Caenorhabditis elegans: one gene and its partner. The protein of the gene in region 1 purifies or fractionates together with the protein of each later gene. This does not show direct contact. Each region holds a gene or a part of one and is shown in the gene's direction. Other genes may lie near its edges.

What was found.
Region 2: the proteins of B0244.10 (region 1) and cisd-3.2 fractionate together in Caenorhabditis elegans (co-fractionation; one large-scale study listed by BioGRID). This does not show direct contact.

Annotation. Positions count from the first base shown.
Region 1 is NC_003281.10:5,732,989-5,738,081, forward strand, and holds B0244.10 (Putative G-protein coupled receptor B0244.10), read left to right. Parts: upstream 1-2,176; 5' UTR 2,177-2,204; coding exon 2,205-2,300; intron 2,301-2,420; coding exon 2,421-2,554; intron 2,555-2,743; coding exon 2,744-2,916; intron 2,917-3,019; coding exon 3,020-3,150; intron 3,151-3,195; coding exon 3,196-3,289; intron 3,290-3,416; coding exon 3,417-3,635; intron 3,636-3,807; coding exon 3,808-3,898; intron 3,899-4,001; coding exon 4,002-4,077; intron 4,078-4,218; coding exon 4,219-4,311; 3' UTR 4,312-4,533; downstream 4,534-5,093. Other genes in the region: Putative G-protein coupled receptor B0244.7, read left to right, coding at 5-80, 127-189; B0244.17 (G-protein coupled receptors family 1 profile domain-containing protein), read left to right, coding at 237-332, 395-528, 649-818, 998-1,128, 1,178-1,271, 1,423-1,514, 1,590-1,716, 1,805-1,889 and 2 more; Putative G-protein coupled receptor-like protein B0244.6, read left to right, coding at 5,020-5,093.
Region 2 is NC_003281.10:1,538,587-1,544,227, forward strand, and holds cisd-3.2 (Iron-binding zinc finger CDGSH type domain-containing protein), read left to right. Parts: upstream 1-1,906; 5' UTR 1,907-1,919; coding exon 1,920-1,964; intron 1,965-2,131; coding exon 2,132-2,293; intron 2,294-3,339; coding exon 3,340-3,483; intron 3,484-4,598; coding exon 4,599-4,718; 3' UTR 4,719-4,862; downstream 4,863-5,641. Other genes in the region: Y67D2.5 (N-acetyltransferase 9-like protein), read right to left, coding at 1-127, 840-1,013, 1,383-1,613.

The DNA of each region.
Region 1 (5,093 bases):
TCAGGACAATCGGTTTGTTTTTCGATCCTATCTTCACTCTTATATTTGACCCATTATTTACGGACACAGTAACCCGACACGTAATATTTCCCTAGAAACTAATTTAAAACTTACAAAATATTGTAGTACTCAATGATGCAATCAAGAATGTCACGAAGACGACGAGTGTCTGTTATCAGTGATGATTAAAAACTCCAGCAAAAAAGGTTTTGTCCAGTTTTATCGATTGAAGATTTATGGGCAACTTATTCGAAAATTGTACCCATAGATATTCATTCGAGTACATATATGAAAATTGCACAAATACTACAAATCAGTGCGGTCTTATAAGGGTAAGTAAGCACGCTCTGTTAAAATTTCAAACTTTGCGCTTTTACAATTCTATAATTTCCAGAACGTAGCATCATCAATCGATGTATTTCATTGGCTTGATGTCTATATTTCTACAACTATTTTTGTGATTTCGGGGATTTTAAATTTTTATTGCTTGTTTATTGCACTCTACACATATTATTTTCTTGATAACGAGTGAGTAAGTCTGCTACGTAGGCATGAACGCCTGCCAGCCTGTCTTTAAGGCGAGCCAGACAATGCGAATTTTCATGAAAATGTAGATTTTAGGAAAAAAACGAAATCTAAGATTTCCAGAACCCGAAAGCATTATGTATTTGTACTCAGCAGATTTCTCTCCTCAATACTTGTCATAATATCCCTTTTGGTGCTAGAAAGCACACTATTCTCGGAGAGTTTGTCTCCGACATTTGCATATTATGCTGTTGCATTTTCAATTTACGATTTCAGTATGGACACCTTGTTCTGTAAGTTCTTGATTGATGAAAGAGAAATCATATGGGGAAAAGTTAGCCCACGGCCGAGTCATAAATTTTTATAGTTTAAAAATTTTTAGCCTATTGAAAAACACTCCATTTTCAATTTTTCGTAAAAACAAACTTACCAATATAGCGTGTTTGCAGCCTCGAGGTTTAAAATGTTTCAGTCTCCTACATAATGATCTCCCTGATCACCTATTTTGGTGTAGTTCACTACAATTTCTATCGACGCCATGTGTCATTAAGATCTCTCTACATTATACTCATTTCAATGTGGACATTTTCTTTAGCAATAGCGGCAAGCTGACAAAAAGGAATTTCATGGAACAAAAATTGAAACCTTGCAGATCCCTCTAGGCCTCTACGAAGCTGCGAGTAACTCTCAAGGGCCTATAAAGTGTGATTTAAGTTATTGTGGGAAGGTGGTGGAATGGATTACTTGTAAGTAAATTTGCATCTTTGTTGCATTGCACTTCTTGTGTCACAGTAACCCCCAGTCTTTTGCGTGACCTGGAAATTTTCAAAACTCTTCCACGATTGGAAAACCGTTCACCTTACACACGCTACAGCCTAGCAAAAAATTTAATTTCAGTTTCTATAGCATGTATCTCACTTGCAATAACTGCATCTCTAACAGGATTCGCTGTGATCTCGTTGCACTGGTATAACTATAAATCAAAAACGGTGAGGAAGCAGCGGACAGTTCGCGGGTTTTCTTTAAAACCCCGTAAAGCGTCGGCTGCTGAAATATGTATTTAGAACGGTGTCGATGTCCCTAAAGTGACTACACGTGCCCGTATTCGTCTCACTTGGACATTTTTCGCTTTGATTGTCATTTGTCTCATTGAGTTGCTTCCCTTTGGATTAGTTATTGGCAATGATAAAAGTAAGTACGTTAGAGGTTGCCTAGAAATAGCGTCGGAATTGGGAGAAAAAAATGTGTACATGCTTTTCGCATGAAAGTTCAATTTTAGGTAGTCTCCAAGGATGTGATAGTTTTTACAATGCCAACGAACTACTTGTTCAGTCAATAATATCATCTGTGGAAACCCTCGTAGGGTACAAATTTTATACAAATTTAAAACAAACTTCTGAATTTTTGCAGATCCCTTGTCTTCTTGACGGATCCTTTAATTAATATTTTTTTCGACAAAAATATTTCAAAAATGGTCAAGTTACAAGTGAGTTTATCTCTTTCAAATGTGCTCTACAAATTGTGACGTCTCACAGATTACTTACCTCCGCTCGAAATTGTGCAGAAACCCCCCTCCGACAAAATTTTGATCTCTTATCGCCTCATAGAATTGAATCATCAATTCTTATCAGTTAACACTTGGAAAATGGTTTATAGCATTATATCGATTTTTGTTTCAAATGACAAATATTTTTGAAAATTGCTCTACCCACTATTCATTTGAAAAGAACCTACAAAAATGTGTCAATGCATCGAATCCATGTCAATTGCTGCAGGTTTGTTAGGTTGTCCAAGAGGAATACAATTAAAACTTTCTAAAAAATTCTAAATTGAAAAATCTGCGCGTCAAAACTGGTGCACTTTAGAATTAGACTATTTGATAATAATAATTCCAGAAAATGAATACTGCTCACTCACTTATGATTTGGATGGGATTTTATATACCTTCTGCCATGTGTTTTTTGGCTGTACTTGTTGATACTTATTGTCTTTTAGTTACAATTTCAATACTGAAAAGTCTCAAAAAGCAGTGAGTTTAAAATATTCAAACTTTGTTGGCTTCAATTGGCCTAATAATAAATTATTAGCTAACAGTATGCAGATGAAAATGTTTTACGTAACTTATCAGTTTGTAAATTTTGAAATCATCTGAAACAAACGATATATCTTCTCTCGCTATTTTTGTCTAATTTCAAAATTAATTCCAAATAAACTTCAGATCCCGCAAACAATACATATTTGTAGTTGTAAGATTGTCAGCTGCAATTCTCATTGCTCTATGTATAATAATAATTCAGTCAACTTACTTTATCGATATTCCATTTCGGGATACATTTGCATTTTTTGCAGTATTATTTATTATCTACGACTTTAGTATTTTGAGTTTGTTAGGTAAGCCGGAGCTTAAGAATTCCAAGACGCCTTCAAATCAACCTTCGCCTGCCTCGTGCCTCCATGGAAGCCTAGTTGTACCGCAAGTTTCAGTTGATTCCAGGTTCCTTCACCGGTGTCGCCATGATGACATATTTCGGAGTGATGCGTCCACTGGTTTATCGTGACAAGTTTACTCTTAAAACGATATACATCATTGCATTCGCGATAGTTTTATTTTCGGTTTGTGTTGCGGTAAGAAAAAGTTTAATGACTATATTTTTGGTATAAAAATTTTAGATTCCATTTGGCTTATTTCAAGCAGCCGACGAAATAGACGGCCCTATAAAATGTGATAGTGAAAGTTGTGAACTTATCGTTAAATGGTTGTTGTGTAAGTTTTAGTGGGGGGCTGCCTGCCTACCTTGTGGGAGAAATATGGAAAGCTACCCATTTCTAGCCGAGAAATATGCGATAGGCATAAATGTAGTAGGCACGTCTTTTTCATTATTTTATTTCAGTTTGCATAGCATGTCTCATCCTTATGGGATGCACCGGCACATTGCTCTTTGTCACAGTATCTCTCCACTGGCACAGTTATAAATCCAAGAAAATGGGAAACGTGTCATCTTCTGCATTCAATCATGGAAAAAGCCGACTAACATGGACAACTACTATTTTGGTCATTTTATGTTGCGTTGAGTTAATACCAACTGGGTTACTTGCAGCGTTTGGAAAATGTAAGTGACGTGAAAAGATTGGAGACGAACAAAATAACATTTTTATAAAAGATTGAAAGAAAAGAGCCAAAGTAAAATATTCCATTGCAAAACTAATAAAAGAAATACGGTAGTTTCAAATTTCACTGCCAATTACGGTAGATGTTGCTCCCATTTATTGTTTTTTTTTCAGCTGAATCAATATCAGATGACTGTTACGATTTCTACAATGCAAATAGTTTAATTTTCCCAGCTATCGTATCATCATTGGAGACATTTTTAGGGTTCGATAACATTTTTTTCTCTGCACCATGTCCTTTTAAAATAAATGGCCCATCTGGATCACTAGTGACTTGTATTTTCTTAAAATTGAAAAATCAATTTCAGATCAATAACATTTCTACTGGACCCAATTATAAACTTTTCCTTTGACAAACGCATTTCGAAAGTTTTCAGTTCTCAGGTAAGTATGTTTTCTATTTTTTTTTGTGGAAAACGATAGAAATCTACAACAGCTAGTTATTGAGAACATAATCATCAAAAACACAGTAGTCAGAGATTTTGTGGCAAAACTGAAGAATCTAATTTTAAAAATTAATTTCAGATGAAATTTCTGAGATCAAAAGTCTTTTGTGCTTCATCTTCTTCATTATCAAGAAATGATAAAATCATTAAAGATCAATCTCAAATTGAATGATTACTGTTACCTCCATCTTCTCAGTTTTGTGTGGAAACAGATTCCTATCTATAGTATACCCTGCCTGAATAATGAAACCTGCAGTCAATATCTCACCTCACGAGTAATTTTCATTTGCATAATTTTTTAAATATTTATTTTGTATCTGTAAGTTATGTCGTTTTAAGACCAAGTTCTTATTTTGTTTTTGTTAACTGAATAAAATCTAATTCGGAAAGAAAATCTGAGATAAAATGATATTGATTTGGAAAAACTTCAAAAAAAAAAATTTCAGTGTAACAAATTAAAGATTTTTAAAAATAATTCTCAAGGATTCAAACATCTAACATTTTCAAACTTCTGAAAACATTCTAAAAACTTAAGTTATAAAAATATAAAAATCTAGAATAATTATTTGATGAACAGAACAATCAAAGTCTACTCAAAAACTGCTAATTACAAAATTATTCTTTTGGAAAGTTCCTAATAATTTGTTTACATAAATAGATTTGTGGCAGAACCTGAAAAATCTTTAAAAATTAGTTACAGATAAGATTTATGCAATCAAAGCTCATCCCTGCTTTATCTTAATCATCATAAAAAGTGTCATCATAACTGAAGATGATACCTAAATTTTGAATGAAGCATTAAGGTAATTCCTTAAACAAACAACCTTTTCCCTATCATTTTTATGTCCATTTTGTGTCAATGACATTCAATTTCCAAAAAATGACTCAAAATCATTATACCACATCAATTTTTGCCAATTGTTCGAAACACTATGAATTCGAAATTTTATTGGA
Region 2 (5,641 bases), 4.2 Mb from region 1:
CAAATGTGAATTCCTTGAAAGCAGTGCTATAGCCGATTTGTTTGAATCCTAGTTTCTTCTTGAATAGGCTCAGGCTTGGTGTGTTGTCATCGGTAATTTTTACGCAGAATTGCTCGATTTTCAGATTCTGAAAAATTGAAAATTTTCGAAAAAAATATTTTTTTTGCTCATTTTTCAAAACTGTCAAAAACCATGTCAAAATTCTTATTCTCCTCATTTTCAGCTTCAAAATGACCCCCAACACGACCATATTCCGTTCAATTTGACAACCGACACAGCTGATATCGGTGCTACAGTAACCCGCGTGGCGAGACCCAAAATTTTCAAATTGCGCGGAACCAGGACATGATGGGGGTCATTTTGACGCTGAAAGTGTGGAGAACTCGAATTTCAGCTCAAAATCGAGAAATTTTGAAGAATAAAATTTTTCTGAAAAACAAAAAAAAATTCAATTTTTTTTCGAACTAAAATTTTTTTAATTTTCAAAACTGTCAAAAATCATGTTAAAATTCATATTCTCCACGTCACCAGCTTTAAATTGACCCCTACAAGCCTATGTTCCGCGCATTTTTCCCACCGACACAGCTGATATCGGTGCTACAGTAACCCGCGTGGCGAGACCTAAAATTTTCAAACTACGCGGAACCAGTGCGTGATGGGGGGTCATTTTGAAGCTGGGAGTGAGGAGAACTCGAATTTTTATAAAAGAAATTAGTTAGGAGAAATTTGACAAAAAAAATTCTGAAAAAAAAAATTGTTTCAGAATTTTTTTTCAAAATTTTTTTTTCAACTTTTACATCCAACAAAAACTTTTTTTTAGAAGAAAAAAAGTATTTTACCTCATACGCCCACGCAATAATAACCCTCACAGCCTCCTCTCCAATGCCTTTTCCTCTGCCACGTGGCTCCGCTATCATAACCTCTACCTCACCAGTGATGACGTCATCGCTAGGGTTTTCAGTGGACGGTGACGTGGAAATGAACAAATTCACATCGCCAAGCATGTGATCTACCTGAAATTTCGGAAAATTTCCAAAAAAAAAATCGGAAAAAAACACACTTTTCTTTTCGAAAATGCAAAAATTTTTGATAAAAACAGAATTTTTAGTGATTTTTCACATTGAAATCGGCAAAAAAGTGTAAAAAACCCCAATTTTAAGTCAAAAATTTGAATTCGCGGGTGACCAGCGCTAAACAACACGCGCTGTGGCGTACTAGGAGTGTCGTAGTTTTTGGCGGAAAAGTCGATTTTCGAGTGGTTATAATGCTATTTTCCCAATTTTTTGGTCTATTTTTAATTCAAAACGGTTCTGAGCCCGTGAATTTCAAATTTTTGGAGGCAAAAACTTGAAAAAAACGGGGTTTTCCTGAAAAATCCCTACTTCTTCTCCACTTTCATTCATTTCAAGAACGATAAACGTTAGTTTATCCTCATCATTTCGCCAAGTTTTCTGCATTTCATATTCCTCATCCAACGACAATTGTTCAGAGCCGGTGAGTCGGCGAATCTCCTCGTTTTCCATCCATTTGTGGTATTTTGCAACGTGGCACGGCTCGTACGGCACTAAAATGCACTTTTTTGCGACGATTTTCACGTTGGAATTGAGTTTCATTGCCTGGAATATCGAAAAATGCGAGAAATTCGAGGAAAATCATGTAAAAACGCCGGAAAATGAAAAAAATTATATAAATTCCCGTGGCCGCGGCCTAGAAATCCCAACTGTTTCTCACTGGAGCGCGCTTGCTCGCTCCACGGGCAAATTTGTTTTCAGCCATTTTTAGTGATTTTCCTCTGAAAATCCGTGGTTTTTCACGATTTTTTCGCTTAAAATATTGAAAAATCATGAATTTGTATGCGAAAATCCATTAAAAACCTATTTTTCACCTCAAAAACCTCGATTTTCAGGTCGAATTGAGCCATGCTCGGAAGAACGTGCCAAAAGCTTCAGGCAGCCGCGCCGATTGTGAGTTATTAGTGGAAAATTGTCAATTTCGACTGAAAAAGCTGGAAAAGTCGTGGAAAATCAATCAAAATCGCTGAAATTTTTTTTTCTGCGAAAAAATCCCGATTTTTGCCAGATTTTCACCAATTTCCGCGAAAAATCACTGAAAAAAATTTCAAAATTTCCAGCAATCATCGATTCGTGGAAAAGCACGTGGCGTCGTTGTTCAAAGCTATTCTGCAGACGTTTTGCCGTACAAAGGGCAGCCAGCAGGCACAAAGTCGAATCGTGTGAAGCTTGAAGCCGGAAAAACGTATCATTGGTGCTCATGCGGGTTGAGCATCACTCAGGTGCTTATTTTCGAGCATTTTCTCATGGAAATCGTCGAAAAACAGCTAAAATGCCGAAAAAATCGCGGAAAATTGATAAAATTTAGCTATTTTAGGCTTAAAATGGCGCCTATGTGCCTTTAAAGTCGTGATGAAACCCAAAATTTTGTTAAACGTGAATGCTAGTGAAAAAATTACAAAAAAAGCTCATTTTTGCTCAAATTTTAATCAATATTCTAGAAAAATCCAACATTTTTCGAAAATTACCCTAATTTTCCCGGAAAAAGCTCAGACGGTCTATTTTTGTTACGAAAAACGCTGGAAATAAAGATTTTTTGCGATTTTCTGCTCAAAAATTTGGTTATTGCAGCTATAATTAACGAATTTTGCCCTAAAATTAGAATTCCGGTCATTTTTCGCGTTTAAATATTTTTAATCACATTTCTAGTGATTTTGCCCAAATTTTCAGTTAAAAATTAAGTTTTTCACTCATTTTTACCCCTAGAAATTGGTTTTTTCGCTCAAAATAGATTGGCGGCCTAACTTTTGGGATTTCTAGGCCACCAATCTGAAAACGAAAAATCTTCTAAAAATCGATAATTCCCCTGTGACTTGTGCGTTTCTCAGATTTCTGGCATAAATACTGTGTTTATTCACATTTTCAGTCTTAAATTGGCTGAAAATGTGAATAAATACCGTATTTCTGCCAACAATTTGGCAATAGAGCACATTTGTCACTCGGACATGCGGAAGCTATGCCCAAATTTTCAATGATTTTCACACATTTTCACACATTTTCAGTACAAAATTCGAGTTCTCCATCACATTTTCCCCCCCTAACCCGATTTTCAGTCAATTTAGACTAATTGTCGTAAAGTTCGGTGCCAAGTACGCAAGGCACTCGGTGTTTGCGTACTTTTGGGACTACCGTACCCCTCGAAATTCAAATTTAAATCTAGAGACCCAGAAAAAGGGTGCTAGGCGTGTGAAATTCGACGACGATTTTAACACTGAAAAATGCCTTAAAAAACCGGAAAATTCCTGAAAAATCCAAAAATTTTTTGCAGCCATTCTGCGACGGAACCCACAAAACGCCCGGATTAACCAACGTTCGCCCCGTCAGTTTTCAAGTTGAAAAAACTGGAATTTATCCAATGTGTGACTGCAAACAGACTGGAACTCGACCAATTTGCGATGGAAAACACGCTGATGTACGGGGAAAATGGGGAAAATTTCGAAGATTTTCACCTAAAAATCGAATTTCTCGCAAAATTTGAGATAAAAACTGGAAAAATCCCATTTTAATGAAATTTGGCTCAAAATTATGCAAATTCTGCTTGTTTTGACCAAAAAAATCCAATTTTTAAATAAATTCGTCAGAAAATCAATTTTCCGCCAAAAAACCCATGAAACTTCAAGAAAATTCAATTTTCCACAAAATTCGCCACTAAAATCATGAAATTTCAGGATTTTTGACCTAAAAATGGCAATTTTTCAAAAAAAAAAATCGTGATTTGCCACAAAATTTCAGTCAAAATCCAATTTTTAGCTCAAAAATTATGGAATTTAACGGAAGAGTCCAATAAATTCATGAAAAACTAAATTTTTGGCTTAAAAAATCGATTTTTCACTCACATTTGCTCAAAAATCATGAAATTTCCACATTTTCGACCTAAAAACGGCATAAAATGCCAATTTCCAGCCAAAAGCCAATTTTTAGCTGAAAAAATTGTGAATTTTACCAAGAAAATCATTAAATTCATGAAAAACTGAGTTTTTGGCTCAAAATTATCGATTTTCACTTACTTTGTCCCAAAAATCATGAAATTTCCAGATTTTTCACTTAAAAATGTCATTTTTCAGCCAAAAAGCCACTTTTTTGCTCAAAAATTGTCAATTTAACGGAAAATATCATAAAATTCATGAAAAATTGATTTTTCAGCTTAAAAATGTCGATTTCTTACTAATTTTATCTCAAAAACCACGAAATTTTCAGATTTTTAACGTAAAAACGTCATTTTTCAACCAAAATCCAGAATTTTAGCTCAAAAATTGCGAATTTAACGGGAATTATCATAAAATTATAAAAAATTCAATTTTCACTAATTTTGGCTAAAAAATCATGAATTTTTATGATTTTTGTTTTAAAACGCCAATTTTCAGCCAAAAATCCAAATTTTTAGCTCAAAAATTGCGAATTTAACGGGAATTATCATAAAATTTATAAAAAATTCAATTTTCACTAATTTTGGCTGAAAAATCATGAATTTTTATGATTTTTACCCTAAAAACCTCAATTTTCAGCCAAAAATCCCAATTTTTTCAGGTATCCAAAGCTCCACGTGATCTAAACGCTACGAGAATGGTTGCATTCGACGAATCGCCAGTTTACGCAGGAGTTGCTCAAAAATTGGGATATAAGCCGAAAAATGGTGGATTCCAGTAGTCCGGAGACTACGCTGAGACAGCAGCCGAAATCAAAAAAAGTACCAGAAAAACTGAAAGCAGTAGATTTTTTTTTATTGGAAAAAATTTTTTAGGGGTTTTTTCCCGATTTTTAATGTGTGAATAAAGTAATTTTTAAGTGAAAAATCGATTTTTCTGGTGCAAAGAAATCGATAATTTCGGAAAAAATCGATTTTATTACCGGAAAGTCGATAATTTTCGATTTTTTCGGTGTTTGCGTACTTTTCGAGGTACAGTACCCCCCCTAATTTTCAGGAAAATCGATTTTTTTTTCGACTAAAAATCGATAATTTTTGGCAATTATCGATTTTTGAACAGAAAAAAACACGAAAATTTTTGGAATTTCCAGGGTTTTGCGTACTTTTCAAGGTACAGTCCCCCCTAGAAGTTCATATTTTTTAATTTCCCGGGTTACTGTAGCTGCTGGAAAAGTACGCAAACACTGAGAAATAATCCAAAAATTATCGATTTTTCGGTTCAAAAATCGATAATTTCGGAAAATATCGATTTTAGAAACGAAAAAACAAAAATTTCCAATATTTTCAGGTTTTGAACTGCAAAAATTCAACTTTATCGTATTTTGCGTAGTACTTTTGGGGCTACAGTAACCCCCGGGAAATTTGAAAATTCGAATTTTCGAGTTCTGAACTTTAAAAATATGCGAAAAATGGAATATTTGTATTGGTTTTCTGAAAAATTTCGATTTTTGTACTGAAAAAACCGAAAATTTGGCAATATTTCGGTGTTTGCGTACTTTCGGAGCTACAGTACCCCCTAGAATATCAGAATTTCAAAAATATTGATTTTTCGACCGAAAATTCAATTTTTTTTCAATTTTCGGGTTACTGTAGATTGAAAAGTACGCAAACACCGAGAAATTACAAAAATTATCGATTTTTGTAC